Linked DNA regions of Oreochromis niloticus. The protein of the gene in region 2 interacts with the protein of the main gene of each other region in a pairwise test. Links are inferred from orthologs where the notes say so. Each region holds a gene or a part of one and is shown on either strand. Other genes may lie near its edges.

Region 1 (7,196 bases), on a different chromosome or scaffold from region 2:
ATGACCTTTGCTTCAGTGAAATTCATATTAGCTTCTTAGATTAGTGCCGTCCACCAGGAAAGCTGCAGGTGAGCTAACCAGGTAACTACAAATCTGTGAAATGATTTAGATCTTAGCCAGTTAAAATGGAGCTGAACCACAGAGTCACGGTTACGTTAACTGAATTTAAGCAATGTGCTTACAGCCAGTCCAACTATGATATCATCAAGTTAAGGATAATCTGGGCAATCTTTGGACAGGAGACATCCTCAGCCCATGGTGTCGACCTCAGTGACGATGAACTTGTGAGTTTCTGTCCTCCCCCTCACCAGAGGAAACAGTCAGAGGCCTTTCGAGCGACGGCAGCAGATATTTTGTGCAGACTGAGGACAAAATGTTCTCCATCTATTTGAGGTCACAGTGGAGGTCATTACAAGAGGTTCATGCATCAGAACTCTTTGGAGGCTCTCAGAGGCAGTGATCACTGAGCTCAGCATTCATGTGACAGTGTGACGGCAGCAGTGACATCGCAAACAAACATGCTTTTGAAGTGAACATGGGAACAGACCAGCCAACAGGAGCTTTGGGGAAAATACACCTGTTAATTGTTGAGCTATTGTAGAGTTCTTACTTCACAGTATGAAGCTTTTTCCAGGCAGCTGTTACTGAGATTTCACACTTCTTAAATAAAACTGGACTGAACTAAGCTCTGCAGCAGGTGAGCTGGCTCAGCGAGTCTCCTCACCTCGGGGATGGTGACTGTCACACCAAAATGACAAGCAACTTTTTATGTTAGAGATCTTTAACAGCAGCAGTCGAAGGCTGCGAGTTAAACTGCTGGAAGCATCAACTCGAGCTCATCGCATCAGAGCGGCCCTCTGCTTTATGACTCCCGCCTTTGTGTTTCTACACGTTTACCTGTAAACATGAACAGAAATGACATTTTCCGCATTCACGTTCGTAGCTCGGCGAGGCCCACTCACCACAGGCGATGTTCCAGTAGATCTGAGAGTCCGCAGTCTGCAGCAGAATCCTGTACGGTGCTACCCGGGCACTGGAGTCCAGAACCACATCCAGAGTCCCAACCAGGAGACCTGCACAGAGACAGACAGGTGAAGCAACTTGGGCAGTTATCTGGATCTGATCAGTGTTTGGATTGAAGGTGTTCTGGACTTGGACCATATCAGAGAGCATTTCTTGTTCCAGACCTTCACGGTTCTGGTTTTGGGAGACAGTTATTTGTTCTGTTCTGACTGAACAGATGTTGAAGGCAGAGCTCGGACACGTCAGAGCCGAGTCGGTCCGAGTCTCAGAGATGGTCACAGAGCTGATGGTTCCTGTCTGTGATTTAACTGCAAGTCACACCTGACTGGTCCTCTGTCAAACTGTTATGGTGCTGCAATCGCTGGCCCTGATTGGTCTGGTTCCCAAGGTGGACTCGCACATGAAAACCTATTAAATAATTCATTTAATGACTTAAACCAAATCCCAGCAGCATCCAGGTCGTTACTCTGACACATTGTTTCATCATTTCAGTGGTGACCACATGTACATGTCCACCAGCTGAACGCAATTTTAAAAACTCTCAAAAGTTTTAATTAGTTATATCGTACATATGAATTCATCGTTCTATGAGAGCCATGCCTCCCATTGAGCTACACATACATTGCAGGGCGACACACCTGTTCTCCCTGATCACCTGCCCCAGGTTGTCTTGGGCGTTACTGCAGCCTTGTCAAACCAGCCGAGAGTCTTCAGTGTGTCCCGGATCAGCCCCCCCCCAGTGTGACAGGAAACACCTCATGTAGGAGGCGTTCTGGTTGAATGTTGAATGATGATTAGACGTCAAACCAGATTCTTTGTATTTACAAATTAAGCCACTTACGACATATAGATCATCACACGACACCGAACAGAGCTAAACTCTGTGGAGTATCCTCTCCACACTGAGCACACGGACCTCAGCTCAGGGTGGGTCTCTGCTGCTGTGTGGTCTTCACCTCTGATTGTTCCTCCATGTTCAGGCTCCATGTGAGGCTTTGCTGCACCTCCCTGTGGCAGCATCAGTGAGACCTCCTCGTCGTCGTCCTGCAGGCTGAACCACAGCTGCTCAGCCCTTTTAAACTCTAACCTCTCTGTTTCTGAAGCTGACAGATTCTTCTCTTTACGCTTCACTTGGACAGTGGGCCTTCTTCCTCACGTTGCTGCGATGATGAAACGACCCGCCACCCCAGCACTGTATATGGCCTCACACCTGTCCACCCCCACTTCTTTAAAAATACTGTGACTTTTCAACCCAACAAACTCGATTACTGGGACAGTAAACACTCCTGTCAGCTGACCCCTGAGGACCTTTCTTGCATCCTGCAGTCAGACCATGAATCATACTTCCTGTCAGCTGGTTTTCGAACTGCAAGTCACTTTCTGCACACCACGAATGAACACCATCTTCAGGAGCTCCACCTCAGACACATCCACGCAGTAAAATCTAACAGACAGCAGCATGTGGGCTGAGTGTGCAGGTCACTCAGCAGCCATGTTGGTACGTCAGTTATTTTACAGCACTGTGTGAGCTAACGGTGATGTCCGGGTTAGGGTTAGCTGCACAGCATCACGTTCAATCACGTGGAAATTTGCTGATGTGTGCTAAAGTTCAAACCAATCATTTTTACCCTGTAGACAAACTTTGCCTCCATCTTTGCTCGTGCCTGATTAACCCGCAGATCACCCACTCACAAAACAGCAAACACCCCCGGATCTTCAACTTTCAGCTTATCGATCACTAATCGATTATTCCATCTGCCGCAGAGCTAATGTTTGAAATACCAACTCACCGGAGAGCCCCCTCCGCGGCCGTGCCCCCTCCTCCTCTGCAGGACGAAGAACGGGTTCGCCCGCTCGGACACCCACAGAGCCCCGGCCAGCAGCACCTCCTCCGGGTGGATCCACATTTCTGCCCGCTGCCGAAGGCCCTCCTCCGGGCGCTCAGGGGAACACAGGCCAGGGAGTCAGCGGGACAGAGGCCGGAGTGTCGGCGTGCGAGGGCTGTCTCTCCCCCGGGGAAACGGCAGGAAAAGGCGCTGAAGCCTCCGCGAGAGTCACGCAAACATCGAGCTGATGTTGTTGTTTTCACTCAGTCTGATGACTGCACATTACTACCGGGTGTCAGGCCACTCCCCTGCGCACGCTGCGTCATGACGTCCACATGTCTGCAGTTTATGAAACGTTAAAGCAAAAAACAGCAGGCGGCGCTGTTGTCAGGGTTAGGGGCTGTGAAATGTATTTTACCAAAACACCGCTTAAAGTTTACATTTCAGGAGAAGAAAATGTAATTTAGAAAAAGCCGAACAAAGCCACGTTCAAGCTTTCCCCACAGTCATGTGATAGGTTACACGATCCCACACGTGAACTTAGGAGCTCCAGTATTCAGGGACTGTGTCAGAGGTGTTGTGTCAGATAAATACATGCACAGGGGTGCACATAAGTGGTCCGCAGGTGCGCATTCGCTGTCAAAATAAAAGACGCGCACCAGATAAGAAGTTGCAACGCGCGTTTGCGTACATATAAAAGGCACTGTTTTTGTCCGCTAGAGTGGGATTTTCACGGCATATTCTGCACCACATCTCTGTGCGTTCATCATTTCTTTGAAGCCAGCTCTTCTTTGAAGCCAGCTCACCTCCTGCAACCACTTTTCTCGGAAAAGTGGTTGCAGGCTTCTTTTGCGCTTCGGACTCCTGACATTTCTTTGGAGGTGGAGGAACACCAAAGTAATTGCTTAAAGGAGCTTGCTTCGACATATTTAGGAGTTCTAAACAAATGTCTGTCCTCCTCCAGAAAATCTTATGTACGCAAAAGCATGTTGCAACTTCTTATCTGGTGCGCGTCTTTTATTTTGACAGCGAATGCGCACCTGCGGACCACTTATGTGCACCCCTGTACATGCACTTCTGTCATTTAGTGCCGCCTAAAGATCAGATCAGATCATTTCCCAGCATGTTAACAGCAGCAGGCCCACCCGGACGGTGTTCACGTAATTGCAGGTGACTTTAATAAGGCCAACATAAAGACTTTGCTCCCAAAGTTCTATCAGCATGTCAAATGTCCCGCCAGAGGAGAGAACACTCTATATCGTGTTTACTCCAACATCAAGCATGCATACAGAGCCATACCTCTCCCCCACCGCGGTCAGTCCAACCACCTCTCCAGGGCCGTGCAGAGACGTTTATAGGGGCGGGTGCTCAAAGCTAAAAAGGGGCACATTGAACCAGGCTGAATAACAACAACACACATTCATCAAGAATCCAGGGGCGGATCTAGAAGGGTGGCATGGGGTGGCAAGTGCCACCCTAAAATGATTCCTTGCCACCCCAAGTGCCACCTCAGTTTTGCATATGGCAGTGTTGTTTATTAAAATAAGATAGCATTAACAGTTTGAGCGTAGTTACAGTCAACAGTGAATATAAATACTAAAACTGAATATATTGCATAGTGTCCCCCCCCCCTCCACCATAAACAAATGGTTCAGCCCATAGCAGGGACCGGCTTTTTTCTTGTTTTCAGTAGCAAGAGATGCTTATGATTGTGCCAGAGCACATTTTGAACAACACCATGGGAATTTCGGATTCTGGATGTTACACTCTGGAAATGGAAGGAAGGTGAGTGTTATTAACCCTCTGTGGTCCACGGACACGCTGCACCTCCAAATCACATGACTGATGTAAGCTGACATAGCAACAAGCTGCAGCCACGCTGAGTCTCTATTTCAGCCCACATTGAAAGTTCGGACTTCAAAGTTTTTAAATTTTAATTACAGGCCAGTAAATCCAGAGTTATGATAATTGTGTGTGTGTGTGTTTTAAGCGTTTTCTAAGGACAGCGCGAAAACAGTAAAGAAAGGAAAAAATGCCACCTCTTTCCTATCGGTGGAAAAATGCACCATGTCAACCAATTTTTTAAAAAGTCAACACGTGGGATTTGGTTGTTTAGGAAGAGGGGAGAGTTTTTAGAGTGACGGTAACGGCAGCGAGACAGAGCGAGCGAGTGAGAGACAGAGAGAGAGAGAGTTTTTAGATGTGGGAGATTTGTGACGTTTAGTGTGGAGTGTACAGTTAGTGTGTTGTGTTGTCTTGTGCTGTTCTGTTGTGTAGTCGTTTTGTTTTGTGTGTCAGTGAGGGCACTAATGAATGTCACTGAGGCACATTTGCAACTTAAACACTGTCACTAAGTAGAAAACCAGCGGAGTGATACACCTCCTGTTGTCAGGCCTGCAGGTTTGTCCCTGTGCTGTTCTCCTCTGTCTTTTGGTGGACAAACTTTTTTTTTACTGGCACACATCATTTGTGGGGCATCTTATTGCAACACCTGATTGTTCTCTCATTTTAGTTTTAGTAATATTTTTAAATGGTTGTACAAAATGAAAAAAACGGCAGGTGTATTGGCTGCATTTTTAGATAAATAGTTGTATATGTTTACAAAATGTACATTTTATATTTGCATTTCAAGTTATAAAAATTTACTCAACATGTCTGTGGGTTTTTTTACAGTAAAAAGATACTACTAGGATTTTAAGTTCTTTGTGTGATTTCAGATCAGTAATACTAATGCAATATGTCAGTGACAAAAAAAAAAACTAAATTCAGTTAGGCTGAAAAGAATGAAACCAAACAAGGCAAGGGGAAAAAAATAAAATGAAACAATTTGAGGGTGAAATACAAACGTAAACTCAAAAGGAGTCAAAAATGGCCGGTTGTATTTCAGACCTCAGTGGGTTAATCCAACAAATCATGAAAAATTAGGTTTAAATTTTTGTTCATGACAGTGCAGATTTCTGACATTTTGTGTAATTTAAGCATCAAACAATCTGATTGTTTTCTAACAAAAAACAGTGTGAAAGTTAAGTTAGACTTGTGTTTGTAAATGAACCACCCCATGTTGTGTAACTTTCTGGGTTTTATACTCATTGGGCTACATATTTATTTATTATACAGGCTGTACAGTACATAAGATCAAAACTCACGTTTTATGTAACTAAAGTGTTTAATTATGTGGGCTTGTCAATGGAAAATTGTACTTAGTAGTCAGTATAAGCTTTTAATGATATAAGTTTGCATATGATAGAATACTGTATGTTGACCTTTTGATGACTAAGACTGTTGTCCACTACAAGACTGTTTTATAAATTCTTTCTCACTGCGATAATAGCTGAACAAGCAGGAAGAGGAGAGCTGGACACTTTTATCTGCGCTCCTTAACAAAAAGAGGGGCTGCGTCCTTCTGAATCTCACAACACACACACATACACCTGAACCACTCTTATCTTCACTCCCTACGCACTAACATTCCTCTGCCTATGAATAGACGTATTCACTGTAGTATTGCTTTGTATATAAATAAAGACCGGTAACAGGGTGCGCACCACAGGGCCCCCACTCTGGTGTGAGCGTTCTGTGACCGCCCTTGTATACAAGTGAAAACCACAGCGTCTGTGTGTTTCTACCCTTAGACTCTCAGCTGAAGAAGTGTCTTTAGAATAAATCTCTTGACAGGGCTACAGACAATAATTAAGTTATAGACTATATTTATATGAAAAACGTGTATACTTACTGCATTTGAATCATTTTAACCATATGTAACCACCTGCATATGTGTTTGAAAAAAAAAGCCTTGATTTTGCCACCCCATTTGATTTCTTTGCCACCCTCTTGCCACCCTAAGAAAATTTCTCTAGATCCACCCCTGCTTGGTCATCTTACGTAAACTTGATCCAATTTTTTTGAGTTCTGGGAACAAATGAGCTTGTACAGAGTACTCAAAATAAATAAGTTGTCCTAACTTAGTCATTTATAGCTAAGCTTTACTCAATTTTTTTGAGGCAACGAGTTTCCTCAATTTTTTTGAGTTCTGGGAACTAATTAGATTTTACAGTGTACGTAATAATACTCCTGTGTGCTTTAGACTACAGTGTGCGCTGTACACCTGCTTACTGGTTTTGTCGCATCAGTCTGTGTCTCTGAGTTCATTTGTTTTTCCCCTACAGCTCCGGACCGCCAAAAATGCGCGTGCTCTTAAATATCGATTCCTCCAATACCAGTCATTTATGTTCTAGAATCGATTCTCACATTAAAATATCGATATTTTAGTAATTTAGGGTACATTTGCAGTTTATCATTAACAGGAACACAGTGGAAAGAAACTATACCATTCGGATTGTCTAAATT
Region 2 (7,585 bases):
TAGGAAGGTGTGGTACACCTTTACTGGTGAGGCCCATGCTCAGGGGTGAGCTATGGCTTCAGATCAATAGTCCCCTTTAAAAAGGAAAGAGCCGCTTGCTGCTGTCCAAAGGCTTTATTTTGTTGGTTGTGGCATTCAGTTATAATCTACATTGAAGACTCAAATGCAGGTAGAAATAATTACAAAAATTAAAAGTAACAATACCCAACTATGGCAACCAAATAGAACATCAAATAACAAGATTCAAGACTAACAGATAAGGGTTAACAGGGTCCCCTCTCTATCCAGGCCTGCCGGAAGGGCTTGTCAATGAGCTAAGGATGAACAAGACACATGAACCAGTCTTAAACATCAGTTGATGAAATTTTTTTATTTATAATATGTTTAGAAACAGTAGTTAACATAGGATGGATCTTTAAATCTCTTAGATGAAAACAAACAAACAAAAAAAAAAAACAGCAGCCTCAGGGAGTAGAAAAGCTCCAGGAAGGTTTGGCTTTGAAACCAAAACCTTCTTCCTGTGAGGCAACTCCTCTAACCACTGCACCATCATGCTGGTGCAATAGACTGTCCAATGAAACTTGTGATAATGCATTGAAGGCTTTCTAAACTAAAGAAGAGTAATTCTCCAAAAGTTGAATCTGTTCATCTGGACGTAGCGTTTTGTGGGAGAAACGTTTCTCCCACAAAACGCTACGTCCAGATGAACAGATTCAACTTTTGGAGATTTACTTTCCTGGATGATTGAGAATGCATCAAGACATAAATAAGAGTAACATTTTCTTTTTCAATCTTACTAAGCATAGATAGTTTCATAATGTTATGCCTTGAAGAAACAGTGTAAAGATGTACTTTTTAAACCTGAAGCCTTTATATGCTTTATACACTTTATGCTTTATATATCACTCAGCTGGTCATCTACTAATTGGAAGGTTGGTGAGTCGATCCCTGGCTGCTCCAATCTCCAGCCTGCATACCTAGATATTCTCGGGCAAGATACTGAACCCAAAGGTGCTCTGTAATTCGTTCATCACAGCATGAATGTGTGTGAATGCTAGCTAGAAAGCACTTAGGTGCAAAAAAAAAAAGTGCTGGAGTGAATGAGGCATGTATAAAGCACTTAGAGTGCTATATAAGGACCAAGCCATTTACCATCTTTTTGTACCTCAAAAAGGTGCACATAATTATGAAAAAGAATAATAAGAAAAAGGGTAAAAACTACTGCATTTATTCCATATTCAGGAAGTAGTTTTTACCTTACCTTTAGGGTCCAGTAATGACTAGTGTGTAGAGATTGCACACACTAAGAAAGAAATGCACTTTTACTACACCTGCGATTTCTCAGAGTGTGGGTAACAGTAAGGCAGATGTTCTGATAGCTGAAATGTTCTTCTGCAATTCCAGAATGTGCCATTTTAAGTTTGTTCAGGTATGTTTCATGAATCAGAATCATAGTCATCTTTGTTTCTTTGCTATGTGGCCATGCAAAGAAAAAAAAGTTCTTTTAAAATATGCAGTATACATATATGATAGGTAAAAAGTAAGAAAAAGCAAGATACGGAATGTAGTCAGTATGTTCAGCTATTAAAAATAGTTTAGTTTGAGATCTGTGGTTTGCCTATTTGCTAAAAACCCCCCCAAAGCAAAACGACAACAACAAAAATCTCATGAATATTCTCTAAGTGTGGTCATTTGATCATTTTTCATATTACTGCAAAACTAGTGGCATCACCATCTGTTAATGTTAGCTAGATTACACATTTAATTACCTACATTTTCTTTGGGATTAAAAGATTATAATATTGCACGTTTGTTAAGAAGCAAAACAGCAGGCACTACAGTACGTTAAAGTACCAAGTCTTAGCGGCAATTTGAGTACACTTACATTAGTGCACGAAAACTTGATTAGATCTTGTTTAATATTCTGTAGAAAAGTCAAAGTCCAAAATTTTCCTCCAATTACATTCAGTTGTTATCAAGTATAAACAAATTGTTCATTAGCCCGATCAGGTCACAGGGTCACCAAATTCACTGGTCCTATTTTAGATGTAGCTTCCAAACCATCCTGTTCCACAATAAAACCGTCAACACATTTTAAAGGACACACTTGCATTGTGTCCTTTAAGAAGAATTCTCTCCAGTTTCCTTACATACCGATCACAAAGCTCAAGAAAGCTCCCTAAAACTTTTCAGATATTGCTCATAACTCCTTGTGTTTGTTCTTTTGAGTAGAAGGTGTGGCATCATTTGTCTAATCCAGAGTGTAACATTCAGTCTTTGTGCATTTAGTCATTTTATTGTGGTTAGATTCTGCAAGACTTACATAGATGTTCGCATTTACCAGTTACAGTGTGTTAATCTGAGGTGTGAATTCACTGTTTCAGTTGCAACACAATTTCCAGTCTTCTGCTGCAATGTCCGTTTCTAAATCTTTGCTCCAAGTATTTAGATTTTATTCTGACATGATGTCTTTTCTCAAACACTCCTTTGTAAAATAGTACATTTTCATAGGACTCTGTGAAAAACTAAGTGCGTCTCATGATTCAGCAACTTGTAAAACCACCTTTAGCAGCAATAACGTGAAATGCACACTTTCTGTATGACTTTGTCAGTTTCTCACATTGTTACAGAATAATTTTGGCTCACTCTTCTCTCACTTGCTCTCTTAAGGTGCAACATTTCAGGCTGAAGTCTGGCCTTTGACTTGTTCACTCCAATACTCTGATACTTGTTGTAGATTTGCTGGAGTGCTTGGGATCATTGTAATGTTACATGACTCGATTTGAGCCAAGCCAAGCTAGCTGTCGCACAGATGGCCTCATGTTTGACTCTAGAATACTTTGGTACATTGAGGAGTTCATGGTTGAGGTGCCCAGGTCCTGGTGGGTACAAAACAAGCCTAAATCATCACCCCACATTTGACAGCTGGTGTGAGGTGTTTGTGCTGATATGCTGAGATTCATTTTGGTCAAATGTGGTTCTGTGCATTATGACCAAATATCTCCACTTTGGTCTTGTCTGTTCAAAAGACATTGTCCCAGGTCTGTGATTTGGTCAGATGCAACTTTGCAAACCTAAGCCTTGCTTCTATGTTACTTTTAGAGAGTAGGCAACCCTTCCAAAGAAGCCATACACAGTCATCTTCAGGCTTTTTCTAATTGTACTGCGACAAACTTTATAGTTTAGCATGCTACATGCTAAATTATAGCATGCTGGAGGCTGAGATGTAGCTCTTAGGATTTTTTGCAGTTTCTCTTTTTTTGCTGGGACATCCACTTCCGAGAAGACTCTAGCATGGTGTTAATACTCACCTGAATGATCCAGACTAGCGAACTACCAAAACCTCATCTTACGGATGATCAATTAATCAAGTAGCAAACCTGACTGCTACTTATCCTGTTCATTTCTGTATTAGCAATAGCGGTATACTTAGTTTTTCACAGGACTGCATACAGTCCTAAGCAAATTTTATTTTCTTTAACATGACTTTGCTTTAATGTGGTTTAACAAAACTTCTCAGCTGTCAAAATTATAAGTAAATACAAGTGAATTAATATAATTTTTAATTTTAAATATTTCCAAGCCTCCCAAAACTTAAATCTATCATCAGTGTCAGAGCAGCTGTACCTGTGACTGCCAAAATATCTTGTTCATCAAGACATCCCTAACTGAATACATTTGATGAACACAGTGTCTAGATTAAGAAACAAAACATTATATATTTGGTTTCGTTTGTGTGTTTATTATGATTGAAGTAAATGTGTGTCACCCTCTTCTTCCTCCATACTTCCTTTTGGGAACCACACTTGTGAATATCATCACTTCAGCAGCTACTGCCAAATCACATTCAAATGGTTCAAAATTCAATTCCTCTGAGTTTTATTTTTCTTATTGATTTAGTTTAGCAGTGGTTCCTTTTGGGGCAGTCACCACGAGGAATGATTCTTCAGGGGCTTCTCCAAAAAGCTGATGATGAGATGTTTCAGCTCTGAGAAGCACAGATGGATCCTCTATTCTAAGGTGCTTTCTCTTTAGTTAGTTAAGCAGTTCTTGCAAAAATATGACTAAGTACAGTAGCCAAAAAATACTTTTTGCTGTCTATCAGCACTACTTAGGAGCAACACAACTCAAAGTCAAGAAATTTCACCAGTCAACCTTTAAGCTGTTATGTCCCACCAATACTGACTCAACACAAAATCAAGGCTGACACCAGATTTTTTCAGAAACACATGGTTTTTTGGTTGTTTTGGTTTTAAATCATTATACATTCAAAGGTGAAACTTGCAAGCAGGAGAGTATTACAGCATCCAGCGTGAAGTCTGCCTTCATCCACACCTTGTCAGGTGATGCAGATAACTAGCAATTAAGCCCGGGCAACGCCCAAAGTCTACTACACTGCCACTGCAAAGCCAGTAGGGTTGCAAGGGAGCATAACAAATCTCACATGTTACGAGAAAAAAAAAAATGACTGCCTCATAGAGGTATTGCCATTTGTTGTCAGCGCTGAACCCAGCAGCGGTTGCTTTAAATATTCTAAATTACAAAACATATTTTACTTAATCTGAAGTTTGTATATTTCGCCTCATCACTGGTTATGTTTATTTATTTTTCCACACTGTGCAAAATCTTAAGATTAACTATTGAATAGCAAGGTGTCCGCAAACTTCTTTTTCATAGACCGATTTCTTGCAGACCACTAAAACATCTACTCTACTGCCATTACTCCAATTAGTAACATTTTATTTTAACGATTATCGAGTGAAACCAGCGTACAAACACCCGAATGCCTCTAAAATGACTTATTTGTGACCAGGATAGCGACTTTTTTCCAATTTTCGTGAAAACATCAACTCCCAGAATTCCTTGCCCACGCGTAAGTAAATGACGCTAAAATGTGAGCGACCACATTACAGTACCGGGCAACTATGAAGCTACATTAAAATTTGATACCCAAATCAGTTTGTACACCTAAGAGACATTTTACTGAGTGCCAGCATTCACTTACCTCCCGTAAGTACACATTTGAAGTCATGACGAGCAAAGTGCAGCTTCATAACTGCACACATGTACTTTTAGCATTGTTATCATTTAGCTTTGGTGTACAGTAGTTACACTGTATACGTTTTGACTCAACTTATGAAGCAGTCACCTGTAACCTTGCTTTAACGGCGATATTAGAAATAATAATAACATTGATGAAAGGACCGCCTTTTCAAGACAAACTTCTGTTTGTCATGTTTCACTGTCTTGTGTTTGTTAAACATTATGTCGACATTACAGATAAAATAAAATGCGAAGCTTCCTGTTATTTTAATGTAGGTTTTTCAATGCAGAAAATGCCCTAATCAGGCAAATAGAGCCAAGACACACTCTCCGGCCACTTTGTTAGGTACACCTTGCTAGTAGTGTGTTGGACCCTCTTTTGCCTTCAGAAGTGCCTTTATTCTTCATAACGCTGGAAACATTTATCAGAGATTTTGGTCCATATTGACATGATGGCGCCACACAGTTACTGCAGGTTTGTGACTACGGAGGCCATTTGAGTACAGTCATGTTCAAGAAACCAATTTAAGATGATTTGAGCTTTGTGACATGGTGTGTTATCCTGCTGGAAGCAGTGATCAGAAGATGTGTACACTGTTTTCAGTGAGGTGGAAATGGTCAGCAGCAATATTTAGGTAGGTTGTGCCATCTTAGCGATGCTCAGCATAGTTTGGTTGCAACGAGTTGTGCTTTTCTGTCAGGTTATAGCACTCTGGGAATTTTTCTTTGACCTCTGGGATCAGAGAGGAATTTTTACCTAGAGAACTGCTGCTCACTGGATATTTTGTCTTGTTTGGACCGTTCTCTGTAAACCCTAGAGATGGTTGTGTGTGAAAATTAGAAAACCAACTTCTGGTTGGAAGATACAGTTATTTCTTTTCTTTGCACAGCTCAGAGAACAAAACAGCACAACTGAGAAGAAGAAAGGATCCATGAAAGGTGGTCATGGTGTAAGCTCCGAGGATGCCTTACCACTGTGTGGCTTATGGATGTGGAAAAACTACTGAAGATGGTGTAACCCTGTTTAAATTCCCCAAGGACCCTGAAGAGTTTCGGAAATGGGAGAAGCAGGTCCAGCGCACCCGCATGCAGTGGGTTGCCACACCCAATTCTTACCTTTGCAATGAACATTTTGGCAAGGAGTACTTTGAACCCAGACTGGCATCGGGGCCTCTGAAGCTGAGGCCAGGAGCTGCTCCTACAGTGTTTGTCCGTCCGCACTGTCCTTCCTGCAATGGCGCGGGCTGCAGTAGCTGCCTGCCTTCTATCCAACACAGGACCATTACAGCTGAACCAAGCGAGCAAAGCATAAGTGTGAGTAGCACTTATTTTGGATCGTGGGTTGGGGGGTATTACACCTGCTGTTTACAGGTGGGATGTTTGTTTATTTCCTTCATAGGCTGGATACAATGAAATGGCACCCCTAGAGTGTGAAGATACTAATGAAAGAGGTAAAGAACGACATCTGACAGGAGGAGGGTTAAAGGCACTAAACGAGCGACCAGGTGAGGTGCACCTGCACTCTTAACAATGTTCATAATGTTTTACATTAAGAAAAAACTTTTTTGATTGCATTTTTTTCCACAGTGGTTTGTGAGATGTGTGGAACAACCGGGAATATCAACAACTTCTATTCAAAGACTAAGCGCTTCTGCAGTACATCCTGCTCTCGTTCCTATTCATCAAACTCTAAGAAGTCATCCATTCTAGCACGTCTGCAGGTGAGAAAGAGTTTGACTTTTTTAATATATTTATTTATGTATTTTTGAACACTGGGGAGCACCAGAGGAGCAGTTTGAATTAGCTGCCTTGCTTTATTCAATATTCCATCTGGGGAGTTTGACACAGTCAGTGTCACTGGATTGGGCAAAGAGATGTACTAGTTTTTCCATTCGTGAGTGTGTCGCTCAGCAGCTCAGACAGGTGTGGAATTGCTTTAATTTGTTTCAAAAACCATAGAATTATCTAAAATCCTGTAGTAAATGCATGAACGGCTTCAGCAGGCTTCTGTCTTGGACTTTGATTGCCACCAGCATGCTACTTTCATTGTCCAACAAATGTCACAAATCTTTGACTTATTGAAAATAACTAAAATCAATCGCAGAAAATTCACTCATTTTAAAAGCTGAAACTATGAAATGTTTATTTTTTTTACTGGGATTTTGGCTCTGTGTCTATCGTGGGGGAAATAGTTATCTGATCCCCTGCTGAATTTGTGAGTTTGTTCACTTCCAAAGAAATGAATGGTCACACCATCCCTGCAGTCAAGCATTGAAGTGGATTCGTTGTGCTCTGGGGCTGTTTTTCTGCAAGGAATACAGGGCAACTTCACCGCATTGAGTCAGCAATGGATGGGAGCATGTACCGTAAGCTCTTGAATGTGAACCTTCAGTCATACAGAACACTGAAAATAGGTTTTCCAGCATGACTGTGACCCAAAACCAGGGCAACAAAGGAGTGGTTAAAGAAGAAGCACATTAAGGCCATGGAGTTGCCTAGCAAGTCTTCAGACCTCAGTCCTGTAGGGAATCTGTGGAGGGAG
Region 3 (7,833 bases), on a different chromosome or scaffold from region 2:
AGTTGGTTCAGGAGAGGAGGGGTGTTGTTGATCGTCACTGGGTTGGTCTGAGGTGGCGGCACAGGAATGTCAGAGGAGATGGGATGATTGTTGGGTGTAGATGAGTCTTGTTTCTCACATTCTCGCCTCTTTACAGATTCCATAGGTGCAGCTTTTAGCAGTGATGCATCCAGAGGAGCAAGACCAGCTCTTCTGGTGCTAAACACGGATAACGGAGTCATCCTATAGATTGGCCTCCTCTTTCGAGGTCTGTGGCGAGGACTGGGTCCTGCACCTAGGCGAGGTTGAGATGGTGGTGCTGCCCTTTCCTGCCTTTCTAAAGATGCTATTAAAAGGCAGAAAAACATTATATTGTGTTTTATTTCTTTATTTTAGGGTGTGTATTGGTATTCATTTACTAACCTTTTTGAGTCTGCATCAACCTCCTCATGGCACGTAGTTCCTGCAAAATAGCCTGCAAGGTGCCCTTACAGTTACACATACAGCAGGGGGTTTCTGGCACAGTAGGAGGAACTACATCTGCTGGGAAATGAGGGATGCATTTGTTAGCGCTCGTTCACTCTAACATATGCACACAGGTGCAAACATGCTTTAATGTAACAACAAAGGTGTAAGCCACTTCTGGTGTTCAGCACTCAATATTTAATGAAATTCACTATTCTTCAAATAACTTAAGGTTTGTTTAGTAGTTTTCTCCTTTCAAACATGCATATCCTACCATTAGTTTCATTCACTTTGATTAAATCCTTTGTGCTGTTGAGAATCCTGAGGGCTCTGGAGCGTGTGCTGTACTGGCCGCAGCCTGGGCCGTTTGGGACTGGGATGGATATGGATGAAGGTGAAGGCCCTGGGTCCTCTGCAGAGTTCCAGCTGTTGCTCTGGTGGTCCTCTGACACCAGAGATAAAAGTGCAGGCTGATTTACCCAGTTCAGAGGCTTTTCCTGGGGCTCCTTTATTAAGCTATCCTGCTCTGTACCAGCACGCTGGTATACTCTGCTGGTCTTATCGCTCAGAAGCCTCATCATTCCTGTGATTTGTCTTTTGATCTCCATGCCCTCATCCTCCAGCCAAACTACATTAAGAGAGAATGGTGCTCATGTAATTACCGACATCTTGTATGATATATAATCAAAATTCATTCTCTGAATCCCACATACCATCAGACATAACACCATCCTTTGGCTCCCCATTGGCATCTTTGGAGCTGGAGTTAATCACATATGAAGGCTCGAAATCTGCAAAGAAAAAAAAAAAAAGAATGGTTTCGTTATGAAGCACAGCTGTAAAGAAACGCAACAAAACCTTGGTGACAGATGTCATAGAATGATATTGCGGCCTTTTGCCTTCTAAGGTTGAAGCTTGTGCGGGCTAATGAGCTGTGATGCCTGCCAAAGCAGAACCCTCCACCTCACCCCCACCCCATCCCATGCAAAAACCACCACCTGTAGGTGGTATGAAGTAGTGTAGTCAAGAGAGGTGGTGTGTTCCTTACAGCTTAAGCAAAAAGTGCACAGTTGAAGCTCCTTGTTACGAGCTCAGAGTGCGCAATATATTTTCACATTTTATTCAATTTGCTTACTTAATTCAGTCTTAAAAATCTACCCGGAATGAGACGCGTTCAGACTGATGTCCAGGATGTTTCTTTTATTTTCTTTTACATGCAAGATGTGAATCCCTAGAGTTAGCTGCTGGTTAAAACCGAAGCACAGACTGGGCATTGTCGCGGCTATCGCTTTTGTTTACAGAGTCGTCTCTGCTGGCGCACAGCGCCAGACAAACACCCAGACACAGACGCGCGTCTTGCAAGGTCTTGCATTCATTCAGCAGCTTACCTCCATCCGTGACCAGTTTAAAGCTCTGCGACTTCCTTCTCCTCTTCCTTTCTCCAAACTCCATCTTCAGGTGGAATATCCAGTAAGTCGTGCAGTGGAAAAATATTCGCTCTTCGGGAGGACGAAATCACTGACTAGGATACACTCAGCGGAATCACTGTCCGTCTGCCTTATTAATCAGTTAAATTTCTTTCCTGCTTGCGCTACAGATTCTCTCATCTCTTCGCAAATATTCGCAGTGTTAAGCTCAAAGTGACCCGTTCAGTTGTATTCTACAGTCCATTCCCTTTGCCAGCATGATGCTGCTTCTTGGCTTCCGTCATGTAAATAAATTAATGACTTTAATATTAAAAAATCGTCACATATCCCTTTGCGCCACCTGATGGTATGTTCTCATCTGAAAGGTCGAGTCAGACATTTGCTAGTGGTGTCCAAACTGTGAACCGGTATTAAACACAAACAGCATTGAAACAGAAAAACAAACTTTAGAGATTTTTTTAAAAGGACTTCATTTTACAGGCTACTGTAGATGAAAAAAAAGAGCCAAAAGCCAAACGTTGTTTGACTGAAAGGAGAAACAAATAACTCAGTTACCAGGTATTTGGTGTTTACCGTGGTTGATATCTTTGTAAATCTATTGTAGTGCATTAAAGGGATCATGCTTCCTCCTCCAGTCATAACAACTGTGTACTTCTAGAGTCACTGGCAGAAAATATAGGAAGTACTATTGAGTCACCTATTACAAGTGAAGGCCATTTAGTCTCTTTCGCTATAATTTTCTTTATCACCAATCTAGAAAAGATGTTGGAGGATTTAAAAAAGATTGAGTGAGGATTTTTCATCTTCCCTTCTTGGAGTATAGAGCATAACTGCCAGATACGTAAAACAAACACCCCTAAGTGTTGACCCTTTTTCCAGATTTCCCTGTTTGGCAGCAGTTTTTAGGATCTTGGGGCATCTGTGGATTGAACCTGTTTCGGTCCATTTTGATGCTTGACACAGTGGGATCACAGTGGTGAGTTTAGAGGTTTTCGGGCTTGGAGCTTGACTGGGCCCCGTCATTGTCCTCAAAATATTAGCTACTGTGTAGTGTTTTGGAAATGGTGTTGGTCTGTTTTGGTGGGTTGCAATTATCAAGGTAAGAGTCTAGGATCCAAATGTTTCACAGCAGAACATGGTGTTGCGATAACCACAACTCAGTGGTTTAATTGTTGGGTTAGCCCAATGTTTGGCTAACTAGTGTGCATACATATCCAGAAAATAATATATAAAGGAGTATCTATTTTCTTCTATCTGTTTGACCTTATTCTTTTGGTGTCTGCTTAAATTCACTGAAAAACAGATTCATTAGACACAGGTTACATTGTGTTCTAATGCTTTTATTTTGAAACAATTATTTTGAAAATTCTGAAAAGCTTCTTGTTATCTTCCGGTTTAGGCAATCGTGTTTCTAACGTTTGGGTAAACGCAGACTGACCTTAATGTGCCGTTTTTTGTTAGAATAAACCTTTCAGATGGATATACTTAAAGCTGAGATCGCAAGAAAGAGGAAACTCCTCGAAGAAAAAAATCTTGTTGAAGTAAGTATTCGACGAAGTTGCTTGTTATTGTTAGCTTGGCTATGTTGCTAACACGTCGTTTAACCAGGCTAGTTAAGTATTTCTAGAATGATCGTTTTTCATCCATATCGATAGCTTTATCTATAAAGTACTGAACTCCATCTGCAGTAGAATATAAAGCTAACTTTAGGATTAAGCTAAACACAGAGCTGTAGTTTACGAATTGTAATTGCTGCTACGTAACAGAACATTACCTTTATAGTATCACGATTTAAGCAGAAATTCTGGTATTTATGCCGTTTAAACTCATCCTAACATATAATTTTTTTATGCAAACATAAGTAAGCTAGGGAGAGCTAGGGGCACATGGCAGTTCATTAGGTACACGTAGCTCAAATTCATCTCAAACTCATGCTATCTATTGCATAACGTCCTACCTGTACCACTGTATCAACAATACCCCCGCCAATCACCACCACCAAATAATATATGATATTGATATCATATGATAGCATAAATTCATTTTACCTGCTTTTTTCTTTTCTTTTCAGGACTCCAAAAGATTCTTTAAAAGGGCTGAGCTCTCACAGAAGGAAAGAGAAGATTACTTCAGAAGATGCGGATACAAGGTTCATGTCAACATCACTCTGCTTCTCACTCTCTCGATTTTCCTGAGACACTCAGACTTATTTAATTCACTGTCTGGCTTGGTTAGTGTGACACAAAATAACGAGTAAACTTTCTGCCAGCAAAAAAGATAAGGACAGGTGTTGATGGTCAGGTGTACAACAGTGTCTGTATTTGTGTTTACTGTGGTGTTTTTCCCCAATTTGCCTCTGCTGCCTGCATCTGTAGGTTCAGAGAGAGACTCCTGAGAGCCAGGTATGGCATTGCACAGTGAAAGTAGCCAACAGGATGCATGATAAAAGGATAAAACACACTGTGTCCTAAACGCTCATGCTTCCTAGGCATCCTTTCTGGAAGTTCTTACTGAAATCTGTTGGGATGAAAACAGAAAAGACGTAGCGGAGGGCACATTTTCTGGTTGTTACAAATAACCACACAAGCACGAGGATATTTTGGTACAGGATGCCTGGACTCACCTAGTAGTAACTTAGTGTATAATAATTGGATATCAGCTGTACACAAATGGAAATATTCACCAGCTCACTTCTGCTGGATAAATTTAGACTTTTCAAGGTGATTTTAAAATTTTAGTCAATAACATGAAAGCATTTTAAAGCTTGATTTAAACTCACCTGCGTTCTGTGGATGGTAAACTGTGTCATTTCCAAATTATCAACATAGTTTAAATGTCATATAAATGAAATATTTATATGTGCCACAGTCATTATCACAGCTTTGCCTTATGCCAGGCTAGTTACATATTACAGCCACTTGTCAGAAAGCAAAGGAACACGGAAAGGAAGCTTCAAAGCAAAAGTGGGACACTGCCACGGTGTTGATTTCAGCATGGGATAATGTACTGAAATGGAAAAGTATTTTTGTTATCAAGCTCTGCTTCTTATTTTTGCAGATAATTTGTGACAGAAGCTTTTAATATTTAAGCAAATTATGGTGTGCAACTTGTTTGCCGTGACATTTTAACAGCTGCTCAGTGGCAGATTGTATTTATGTTATACTTTGTGTAAAGCTTAAAAACCTGGCTCATTAAGCCATTCTCTTTGTACACGGGCAGCGTACTATGTTTTATTTAAAGCGAAAGAGCTGTTGTTTGCTCAGAAGGCTTTTTGTCACCATTTGCTGGTTGTTCTTTTAGATTGTGGTATAAAAAGCACAATCTAAGAGTGCTGGCATGCATGTGCCTTTTAAAGCATGATTTGGGTATATTTTGAGTTTCTTTGTGCAAAGAATACAGAGTATCTTTTCCTGTGATTACGCCTGATGGGTGATTTAGACTTCTTTGGGAAATCGACCTTGTTACTTACAATGTAACCAAAAACACTTTTTAACCCTATGCTGTAACCTTGCATGTAATCTGATGTAACTACACAGCAGGTCAGCACAGCCCGCAACGGCTAGGGTTAACAGGGGTTTCCGGTTGCGTCGTTAGTTAGGATGTAGATTTCCCGCAGAAGCCTAAATCACACATAAGATGTTACAGCCACGAAAGTTATCATGTTGATGTACTATTTGTTATATTCTTTCCTTTTTTTTGGTAACTTATTGTGCTACTTGTCTTTCTTGAAGAGTTGCAGGTAAGGGAGTGGTGTGAATGTTTGCAGTTCTGCTTATTTTGTTGATGCCTTTTTGTCTCTTTGGTCATGAGGTCTCAGCTCATGAAGAAATTGCCAATGCCCCCCCCCCTCTTTTTGTAGTAGTTTTATTTGCCATTTGGCCAAGGAAGATTAGATTAAATTCAGATCCTCCAAATTGCCCTAATGTTCTTCCAATAATGCTGGCGTATTTCTATTCCCTCAATTTTGTCCATAAGATTGAGAAGAAAGAGGAAGATGAGCCATCCACTTCAACTAATCCAGTCTTGGAACTGGAGCTCACAGAAGAGAAGCTCCCAATGACACTTTCACGACAGGAGGTGAGTCAGTATAAAACATCAGCACTTTCCTTTAATTCATTTTCCTTTAAATATCATAACATTTCTTTTGCTTACCACCAAGTGTATAAATATTTGATTTGCATCACTGTGTTTGTGTAGGTTATTCGACGACTTAGAGAACGAGGGGAACCGATCCGATTGTTTGGCGAGTCCGATTATGATGCCTTCCAGAGGCTCCGGAAAATTGAGATTCTGGCCCCAGAAGTAAACAAGGTAGGATTGAGAGTTAACTGGATTTTGGAAAAAACATGCAGTTGAAATTCACATTTATTCCATCTACTCTGGAAAATTGTATGTCACTACTAATGTTCTTGATTGTATTAAGGACATATTGAATTTATTTTAGTGACACTAATAATATTTGCTGCTTTAACTGTGCCAAGGGCTTGAGGAATGATCTGAAAGCCGCCATGGACAAGATTGACCAGCAGTACCTGAATGAGATTGTTGGAGGAACAGAGTCAGGAGAATTGGACACACAGCATGACCTAAAAGTGCACGAAGAAAACACCACAATAGAAGAACTTGAGGTACATTGCACAATGTCCAAGGAGAAAGAATGAATCTCCAGTTATTAAATAGCTTTTCTTTTTTGTCAGATCAATTTTTGGGCACAGTTTGTTTGGGGTTTTTTTTGTTTTTTTTCAATCATTTTATGTTTGTGGGTGGTGTTTTTGTGTTAATAATGAAATTATCCCCCCTAGGCTCTTGGAAAAACTCTTGGAACAGGTGATGATGATGGAGACCAGGATGTTATTGCTAAATTTTTGAGGGTAAGAATTTCATGCTTGACCTTTTGATCTAAAGCAAGGATGTCAAACGTATTTCACACCGTGAGTCACATACAGCCCACTTTGATCTTAAGTGGGACAGACGAGTGAAAAGCCCCTTTCTCTCAGTGTAAAGACGTTTAACTACATATGTAGTCTATGAGATGACTTGATGTAAGGAAAGAAGAAGCATTTGAACAGTGCATCTCAGTTTTTCTACATGATAAATGTAGAAAAAGTTCTGTGAGCTTATGGAACAGATTGTCTAGTATTTATAAAAGAGTTTCTATTAATAAAAGTTTTTATTAATTTAAAGAAAATGTTTTGTTTTTTTAGATGGTGAAAAACAGGAGCTTTTCTCTCATTTCAATGTATATCTATTACTTAACTCTAGGGGAGGTCTAGATCAATAGGAAAAATTGTAAAACTAAAGTTAAATTTCCACAAATTTATACCCTTCACAATTTCCAAAGCTTTCCAGTGGGGCTAATTGGTGTGTTTTTTGGGGCAGATTCTGGCCCCTGGGCCTTACGTTTGACACCCCTAGTTTACAGGGAGCTCTTGGGTTAATATTAATTATAAAAATTTAAAAAAGTCATACTACTATACCTGCTGCTGTTTATATGTTTACATAGTTAAAAAAGTTTAACCTTTCGCACCATTATTCTTTTTGAAGTGGTTCAAATAATGGATATTTGTCTAGTGTTGGTTACCGCTGCATTTCTTGGAAACATTTTCCTCAAAGAAAATATTTGTTGTTGGACTCTAGTTTCTTCTTGGCGTTTGGGCCAAAGATCTGAACAGCCGAGAGGACCACGTGAAGCGCAGCGTTCAGGGCAAGCTGGCCAGTGCGACACACTCGCAGACCGAGTCTTACCTCAAGCCTCTCTTCAGGAAGCTCAGGAAGAAGGTAACTTATGTGACCGGAGCAAAACAAACTATAGTGCGTGGTTCTTTCATGTGTGGATTTACTTTTCATCATTATCTTTTACAGAACTTACAAGCTGACATCAAAGAGTCAATCACAGACATCATAAAATTCATGTTGGAGAGAGAATATGTCAAGGTATGATAATATCATGTAGCCTCTGTTG
Region 4 (7,488 bases), on a different chromosome or scaffold from region 2:
ATGACCTTTGTGATAAATTCTTCTTATTATTAAATCACTAATATTTAGCAGTTGGAGCCACTGCAGTTGCTGCACGAAGGACCAGGGGAAATAACAAAGTGAAGGTAAGTGAATGTGAATTACGGAGGGAAAATAAACAAAAAAGAGTTTGCTGTTTCACTTTACTTGGTTTCTTATTTTAGTGTTAACTAAATGTATGAAGCACTGGGATAAAAGGATCAGTGTTATAGTGACATTGATACATTCTGCTGTTTTTCTAAGAAATATTATTTCCCAACACAAAGGTCAGAATGTTGCTTGAGCGTCTGCTTTACACTGTTCTTTAAAAATGTCATTAAATTAATCATTTCAAGCATGTTTAAGTTTAAAAATATTTAAATGCACCTTGTCAAATATAATGATCGTAAGTGTTGCTAAAGAGGAAATGCAGACACCGTGCTTAGTTTCCTTTGCGGTAGCAGCCTTGAATTTAAGGTTAAGAAATTTAGATACACAAGAGATATATTGCCATGCCAGATTCAGTGGACTCACTTGGGTCTGGTTGGTCACTGCTGTACAGGGGGGAGCTGTAGGCCCTTCTGAATCCAGGTGGCTACAGGAAAGAAGAAAAAAAGTTTTTAATAAAAGTTTTAAAAAATATATCTCTCTCACTCTCGAGGGCAGTAAAAGGAAACTGCAGATATAGTTTCATATCCAGTGCACACCAGCAAACTCACAATTTTGCCAAAACACCTCTGAAACTCGACATACGACTGACATGAGTGGTGGATGTTGGTCTTACAGTTTTTGCATCTCAGGCAAAATTTGTTGTTCACTGAAAGATGAGGAACCAAAATTAACAGTCTCAATCTTTAGAACAAATACCTATGGGATTATATGATGATTGATTATTTATAACATTAATATAAAAAACAGCACTTACAGACTATCATGCGAGCGCAGACGTCACAAAACTTGGGCTTCTTGCAGTAGTGGTCCTTGAATTTGTGGGGTTTGTCATTGACCCGGACGATGGGCTCTGAAGGAGATTCTGGTTCCTTCTCCTCCACCTCCACTTCCTCCTCATATATGAAATAGACCTGCAGACCCAAGGGACATATCTCAGACAAAAACCCCCAACAACAAACATGTGATAGAGTTGTTATATAAGTTGTTATTAAAGTTTTTAAATGTTAAACATACTGAGCTGCCAGTGTCAATGTCACACAGTATTATGAAGTATTACATTAGTGTCTTGCCTTGTTTGTTTATCAGCTGGTACCTGATCTCTGTCTTACATTTAGCTTTTCAGGACCTAGTGAATAACATTTCGATGACTAATCCAGATCAGCCAGCAGTGCTCATTTTTTCCATAAGGTTGTATAAGACAGGGACACTTAAGCTCATATTGTTTCCAGCTGATGCTGCACTGCAACCCTGTCCCAGTTGGTGGCTATTTTAAACAGCCCAAGAATGGCACTGCTAATGGCGGGGGGTTGACATGGTGCTGTCACTCACAGTGTCTCCGTCCTCCCTCACTACATTGTCAGGAGCTGGGGGGTTGTCATGGATATCCACAGAGTTTTTGTCATCGTCCCTAACACACACACACACACACACACACACACACACACACACACAGCCATGAGTGAGGTTAACTGCTGCGACTATAGATAGTTATTTTATTTATTCTCAACATTATGATCACTTTTTATTCTAAAGGAACATGTAAGCATATAAAGCGAGGAAAAAGGTTTTGCCTATAAACAAACTTTAAAAAAACACAAGTAAAGTAAAACTCCCATTCCACCTTAAAATAGTAGAATCGTGGCAATTTAATATACGACTCAATTTGTTTAAGGATATCCTTGCCGCACATTCTTTCAAGTGGACATAGAGCTGCTTTAGACACAGATGATGCTCCAGAATATTTTTCTGGCATGGGCTACTTCAGTATTTAGTAAACAGGAAATGGAATTAAGACTTAAATGGTAAAGAAGTGCTACAACCAAGCCAATAAAATGAGTATCAAGAGGCAAGTATATTGATTTTAAGAATTATACTTACGGATCCATGGTTTGATGTAGACAGCGTCAGTTCACCCCCACCTAGAAAGTGAACAGTTAGGTGGGTTTTTTTCCCGAAAGATGAGACAGTTTGATAAAAGTGATATCATGAGAGAATGTTCTACTAATTATTTGTTTACTCAAAACTTTGAATGACTTAGCCCATATGCACTATTATGTCAAATTGTTTTCAAAGTAGGTGAAAAATCAAATACATATTCCTGAACTTCTTAGAGGGAAGTTTAAAGAAATATTAGAAAATAAGCCTGCATTTGGTTTTTTATTAAAAATGTATTTAAAAAAATATCAAATATGGTAATACAATAGAAAATATATTTCTGTGTCTGTGTGAACGCTACATGCACTTGCATATCCACACAGTGTTAGAATGTGCTTGTCTTCTATACTATTCTAGGGTTGTGAAATTTAATCTCATCACAGCTAAATTTGGCTGCCTCTGTCAGCCAGGAAAAAAGCAACTAAAAATTAAGAAAATGTTATGGAAATAAAAAAAAAAATCATAGTTTGTAAACTGACAGAGATAATCTCAGAGTTGGGGTTGTTTAGCTCGTGTTTTAAAACTAATGGAACTTCACTCAAATTAATTCAAATAAACTGAGTGATTATAACACAGGTCATGCACAAACATTTTTTTCCATTAAAAACATTCTTTAAACTACAGCAATAACCTACCTTTTGTCTAAATTTGTACAGATCGCACTGAAGAAATCATAAATCCGGTGTGCTGGCAAAATCTCAGTGAATGGGTTTTCACCTGCTGGCAATGACCAGAGCCCTGTATGGTCAGTATGTTACAAAGCAGCTTCACTTCAGGCCCTCGGGATGCTGGGCTGTCACAAAGTCTGGTCCCTCTGTCTTCTTTAGATATTTTCCAAAGTGACTTTAGGTTGTAGTTTGAGTGTATATCTGGAGTTGTGTATCTATGATTTTGGGTGTGTGCTTGTGTGCATGCCAGGCTTAGCGGTCCTATGTCAAGCTGACACTTTGCAACAGCTGAGGACCTTGGACTGAGCACCGATGACGGGGGGGAAATCAGATACATTTTCTCCTTCTGTCTTCAATACATCTCTTTCCCCTTGTCCCACTTGTTCACAGACAACAGAAACACTGCTAAGCATCCAAGCATTCCATATCATGCTGTATCTCTGTGCATATTAATTATTATTATCGTTGTGCTATACAGTTATGATATGCCCCTTACTATGTTTTACTACAGATATATATGTATATATATATATATATATATATATATATATATATATATATATATGTACATGCCTTAATGGATAGAGTATGTTTAACTTTTCATTTAAATTTCGTGATATGGGCCACAAATGCAGTGTAGACAGGCGGAAGTGAATCCACTATTGTCAAGTGAACACATGTTATTATTCTGTCATTATCATGTCCTCTGTCAAGGAGCTGAACACAGCTTCATTCAGGTCTGTCTGGAACACTACAAAGGTCCCGTTGCATGTCGGGTACAATATTCCTTAAGCGTCTAATGCGCATGCTCAACAGTAAAAACTCCATTATTTTTTGCTCGGAATTTGTGAGAAAAAAAAAACAGTGGGCAACTGTGAACTGGGGATTACATGGGCCGTTATGGTTGTCGGAATATATTTGAAAGCTCCACGGTTTAGCAGAAGAGAAAGCAAAACAACGGCCGGATAGCTGCAGACCGGGAGCGGGACATCCTTCAGTCTTGTCGGGACACTCCACAATCAAGTAAATTTCAGTCAGTTAGCTGACTGGCTAGCTAGCCTAGCTGGTTGCAGCGTTAGCTCCGAGATCCCAGGCGCAGTAAAATGAAGCGTTATTGCCCTTTGTTTTTAAGTCGGACTGGCAGACGTTGTATGAATGCTGAGAGCTGAATGAGCACACCGCTGCGGGAATTGGATTACACAATGACTTATTTTGCGCTCATTTATTAAAGTATCAGCCGTTTTCAAAACATTATCTGGCTAGCCCGTTTGCTAGCCAGCTAACTCTTGATTCTCCCGCGAGCCAGAAAAGCCAAGACTCCAAAACTTCGCCAACACAGAGCCTGACGCAGAGAAAAGGTTGGTAGGACCTGCTACTATTGACGTTAGCTAACGGATATCAATAAGTAAAGTGTGATGTAGGTATCCGATTTATAAGAGGTTTTTTCACAACGCGGTATTGTGCGTGGGTCGTATGTTGTTACTGCAGCTAACGGGCAAGAGTTTTGTATTGGAGTGTTTTGTGCGCCTGACAGCTGTCACGACAACACAGTACAAAGTAGGGTAGCTTGCTAGCCTAGCTGTTAGCCTGGACGCTAGCTGCCGTGTATGAGCCGTGTACTTTGTGGGATGTTTTTTCATACTTTACGCAATTTATGATACAAAATTAAGAAAAAAAAGGATACATCAGTTCAGAGCTATATTAATTGCTCTTTCATGTGCCAGGGTGTTCGCTTCGGAGTTGGTTGTTGCAGCTGCTTATACTGTCGCTAAACACTGAGTAAACTACGGGCCTAGGCAAACACACCCTTCTACTTCAAAGCAGCTAGAGCTTACTCTGAAGTTCTTCTGGAGAAGACTAATACATCTGATGTAGTCGTTTTTCAAACACGCTTAGATCATATCAGTTACAGAATAGGTTTATTGCACGATATCTTTACCGCGGGGGTCGCTGCCAGATTACATAATCCACCTCCACCTTTCTTTGCAGGCTCTCCACCTTCACCCACATCCCTACTCTGATGTGAACTGAACTAATAAATCTGCAGGAGTCATCCTTTAAGTGAGGGATCTGCCTCATAGCTGAAGAAAGTCGAGGTGTTTGGGCAAGTCAGGTTTTACTGGCAGTGTGCTTCTAACCCACCAGCATGTACACTGGACAGTGGATACTCTAGCCAAAACAGATCCTGGCTTCCCAAAGATGACAAGGTATGCAACTTTCTTTTTGTTTGTCTTGGTATTACTTTTACATTGATAATAAACCAAAAACCTTTCTTTTGCTGTGGCCACTCCCCCTTTTCAACATGTTTACATCACATTCATTCTCTAGGGGCTTGTATTATCTTCAGCACAGACATAAGAAAAGAAACTGCAGGGTACTTTCCCAGAACTTTTTGACACACAGATGATAGCTAAAAAGTAAAGGAAATGATGCTGAATTAGTAGAGTGGAATTAATTTGCAGTGCTTCCCTTGTTCATGCTGCTTACTTTAGTTCAGATCTTGGCTGATTTCATCACCACGCATAGGGTACATTTTGTAATGTTTGATATCCGACATCGATATTTGATGTTGTGTAATAAGCTGAATGTGACCTCAACATTAAGCATGCAGGTTGGTTGAAATAAAACATTAATGATCGCAAGATCTTTACTGCAGAAACATTCACCCATCTTTTGTGTTTACTTTTTTCAGTGACTCACTCAGGCTTAGTGAACTTCCCTGATACTTGCACAATATACAGTTAAATGAGGAAAGCTCTTTCAGAAGAGAAGAGCAAAATTTATTGTAGCATAAGCATGACAAATTGAACTATTTTTCCAGTTAGACTCCAAAAAGTCCCAGATGAAAGTGGTGGGGATGAGTAAGCATCTGGTTCATGGAGGCTTTAGTATAGATACCCTTGACAACCCGGATAATGTAGAGATAGCAGGATGAGGGGGCAGGATAGATGGCTTGAAACCCAAAATAGATGCTGAGACTAAACAACTGTTTCCCCCCTTTTAGCATTGGATGTTTTTTCGCGTGTGCTTAAGTAAAGTTGTGCAGTAGGGGATACCACAAGGGTTAAACTTTCCTTAGAAGCAGAGTCCCTGGGTCCACTCTTGACAGGCTGAACTGTTACTACATGATACCTTCATGTTACCCCCCTCCTTATGTTAAAAGACAAGATGTGTTAACACTTCCTGCTTTTTAAGGTGCTGGCAGGCTACAAAATGATGGGAGGCAGTGATACTGTCAGTGGGGACAAGGATGGGGTCCACACCACTGCAATACACGTCCCCATCGGCTGGCAGAGGAGAGTGGAAGGAGGGCAGGTACTCTATGTCAGGTACGTTGGTTCCACACACATGAACTTGCTGATTTTTAATAGTTGGGCAACAGATTTTGAAAGCACACCATGAATAATTGTTACATAATGTATTCTTGAAAAATGACAGTACTGGTTTTGCCAACAAATTTTGGGGGATATTACCTGGCAGGATGACTGCAGTTTTGGATTCGTTTTTTGAAGTTTGTTTCTAGCTATAGACAACAAAGAAGACAAGAAAATGGTTTTTTTTGCACTTTTTAGGAAGTGCAAAGCGAGTAAAATTAAATGTATTCATTTTAATGTTCTATTTATTCTGGGGAGCACTTATTCTGGTTCTATTTATTCTTATTCTGGTAGTTTTAAATACTCATCTATTCAAGCATACCAGGTCTTTGTGAGGGCTCAAAAGCAACTGACAGATTTAGGCTTTCTATATATATATATTATGTTGTTTCTACCAAAGAGAAACATATTTTTTTCTTTGTTATCAGTCGTTCATCCTGAAGATCACCTAAAGACTTCTTTGATTTACTGCAGGTGTGCTCCACTCCACACTTGCCCTCTTCTTTTGCTGTGAAAGGATTCCCCTTGCCTTAAAATACTGGGTAGCTGAGGCAGAGAAAAAAGTATTTTCATTTGGATACCAATATTTTTGTTGAACAGTGGTTTGGATCATGCTTGAATTTAGACATAAAATATGACATTATAAATATGAAATTTTGTATTACTCATTACTCATACTTTTTAGCCACTGAGTTGGAAAGAAACTTGGCTGAAATTAACTGTTCACTTTAATGTTAACCATAACCTGCGTTACTAACTAATAACCCATCTAATGCCAGACACCCCAGCCCTGGAGCAAGACTCTGAAACTTTGCCTTTTTTCAAATATACCCTGATTGAGACTTAACGATTCACAGGAACTTATGCTATATGTTGCTAATTCTCCATGGAATATTTTTTAATTATTGGGCCAGTTTGTGCATTTTACAGGTGTAGAAGCACCACAGGAGTGGATTTGTGTCCTTCAGACTCTCATATGGGTCAGCAGTGTTTGCAGATGACACTAGTGGTTTCTGTCATTGAACTGGATTGAATTAAACCTTTTTTTAATAATTATCTTCTGCACATTCGTACAGTCAGGAGGGAAACTTTTACTCCTTGACTGGGAGTCTCAAGCCTGTAGCTCTCTTGCCCTTCTCCATTAGCTCCCCGTGGCTCTAACCAGGAAAAAAACACAAACTGCATGAATGTTATGATGGAATTGAAAAATGCACAAGTAGTTTATGTTTATCAGCTGACACCTTACTCCTAGTTTTGCTGAACCTCACTACCAGTGGCTAGTATGGATGTAGACCCATAAATGGCTGGTCTCTCAAAAGTTGTTCACGAATGACTTTGTTGAT

Evidence for each region.
Region 1: the proteins of l3mbtl2 (region 2) and tbc1d9b interact in binary tests that used the Homo sapiens proteins (3 or more experiments, as listed by UniProt). The two-hybrid records come from large-scale screens. The link is inferred for Oreochromis niloticus from reciprocal best matches to the Homo sapiens genes L3MBTL2 and TBC1D9B.
Region 3: the proteins of l3mbtl2 (region 2) and bend7 interact in binary tests that used the Homo sapiens proteins (3 or more experiments, as listed by UniProt). The two-hybrid records come from large-scale screens. The link is inferred for Oreochromis niloticus from reciprocal best matches to the Homo sapiens genes L3MBTL2 and BEND7.
Region 4: the proteins of l3mbtl2 (region 2) and stac3 interact in binary tests that used the Homo sapiens proteins (3 or more experiments, as listed by UniProt). The two-hybrid records come from large-scale screens. The link is inferred for Oreochromis niloticus from reciprocal best matches to the Homo sapiens genes L3MBTL2 and STAC3.

Annotation. Positions count from the first base shown.
Region 1 is NC_031966.2:36,275,427-36,282,622, reverse strand, and holds the start of tbc1d9b (TBC1 domain family member 9B), read right to left. Parts: upstream 3,177-7,196; 5' UTR 2,931-3,176; coding exon 2,822-2,930; intron 2,452-2,821; exon of another isoform or gene 2,044-2,451; coding exon of another isoform or gene 1,980-2,043; intron 1,671-1,979; coding exon 1,662-1,670; intron 1,074-1,661; coding exon 963-1,073; intron 1-962. UniProt on the Homo sapiens protein: May act as a GTPase-activating protein for Rab family protein(s).
Region 2 is NC_031973.2:22,453,198-22,460,782, forward strand, and holds the start of l3mbtl2 (lethal(3)malignant brain tumor-like protein 2), read left to right. Parts: upstream 1-4,483; 5' UTR 4,484-4,873; intron 4,874-4,879; exon of another isoform or gene 4,880-5,010; intron 5,011-5,933; 5' UTR 5,934-6,006; coding exon 6,007-6,357; intron 6,358-6,442; coding exon 6,443-6,548; intron 6,549-6,630; coding exon 6,631-6,764; intron 6,765-7,585. UniProt on the Homo sapiens protein: Putative Polycomb group (PcG) protein. PcG proteins maintain the transcriptionally repressive state of genes, probably via a modification of chromatin, rendering it heritably changed in its expressibility.
Region 3 is NC_031972.2:55,932,306-55,940,138, forward strand, and holds the start of bend7 (BEN domain-containing protein 7), read right to left. Parts: upstream 3,118-7,833; 5' UTR 1,897-3,117; coding exon 1,833-1,896; intron 1,236-1,832; coding exon 1,158-1,235; intron 1,073-1,157; coding exon 719-1,072; intron 523-718; coding exon 403-522; intron 326-402; coding exon 1-325. Other genes in the region: prpf18 (pre-mRNA-splicing factor 18), read left to right, coding at 3,347-3,412, 3,943-4,020, 4,247-4,273, 5,847-5,948, 6,069-6,182, 6,353-6,499, 6,674-6,742, 7,509-7,649 and 1 more.
Region 4 is NC_031984.2:24,444,962-24,452,449, reverse strand, and holds the start of stac3 (SH3 and cysteine-rich domain-containing protein 3), read right to left. Parts: upstream 3,052-7,488; 5' UTR 2,739-3,051; intron 2,088-2,738; 5' UTR 2,055-2,087; coding exon 2,047-2,054; intron 1,577-2,046; coding exon 1,498-1,576; intron 1,080-1,497; coding exon 923-1,079; intron 815-922; coding exon 717-814; intron 593-716; coding exon 532-592; intron 1-531. Other genes in the region: mbd6 (methyl-CpG-binding domain protein 5), read left to right, coding at 5,985-6,100. UniProt on the Homo sapiens protein: Required for normal excitation-contraction coupling in skeletal muscle and for normal muscle contraction in response to membrane depolarization. Required for normal Ca(2+) release from the sarcplasmic reticulum, which ultimately leads to muscle contraction.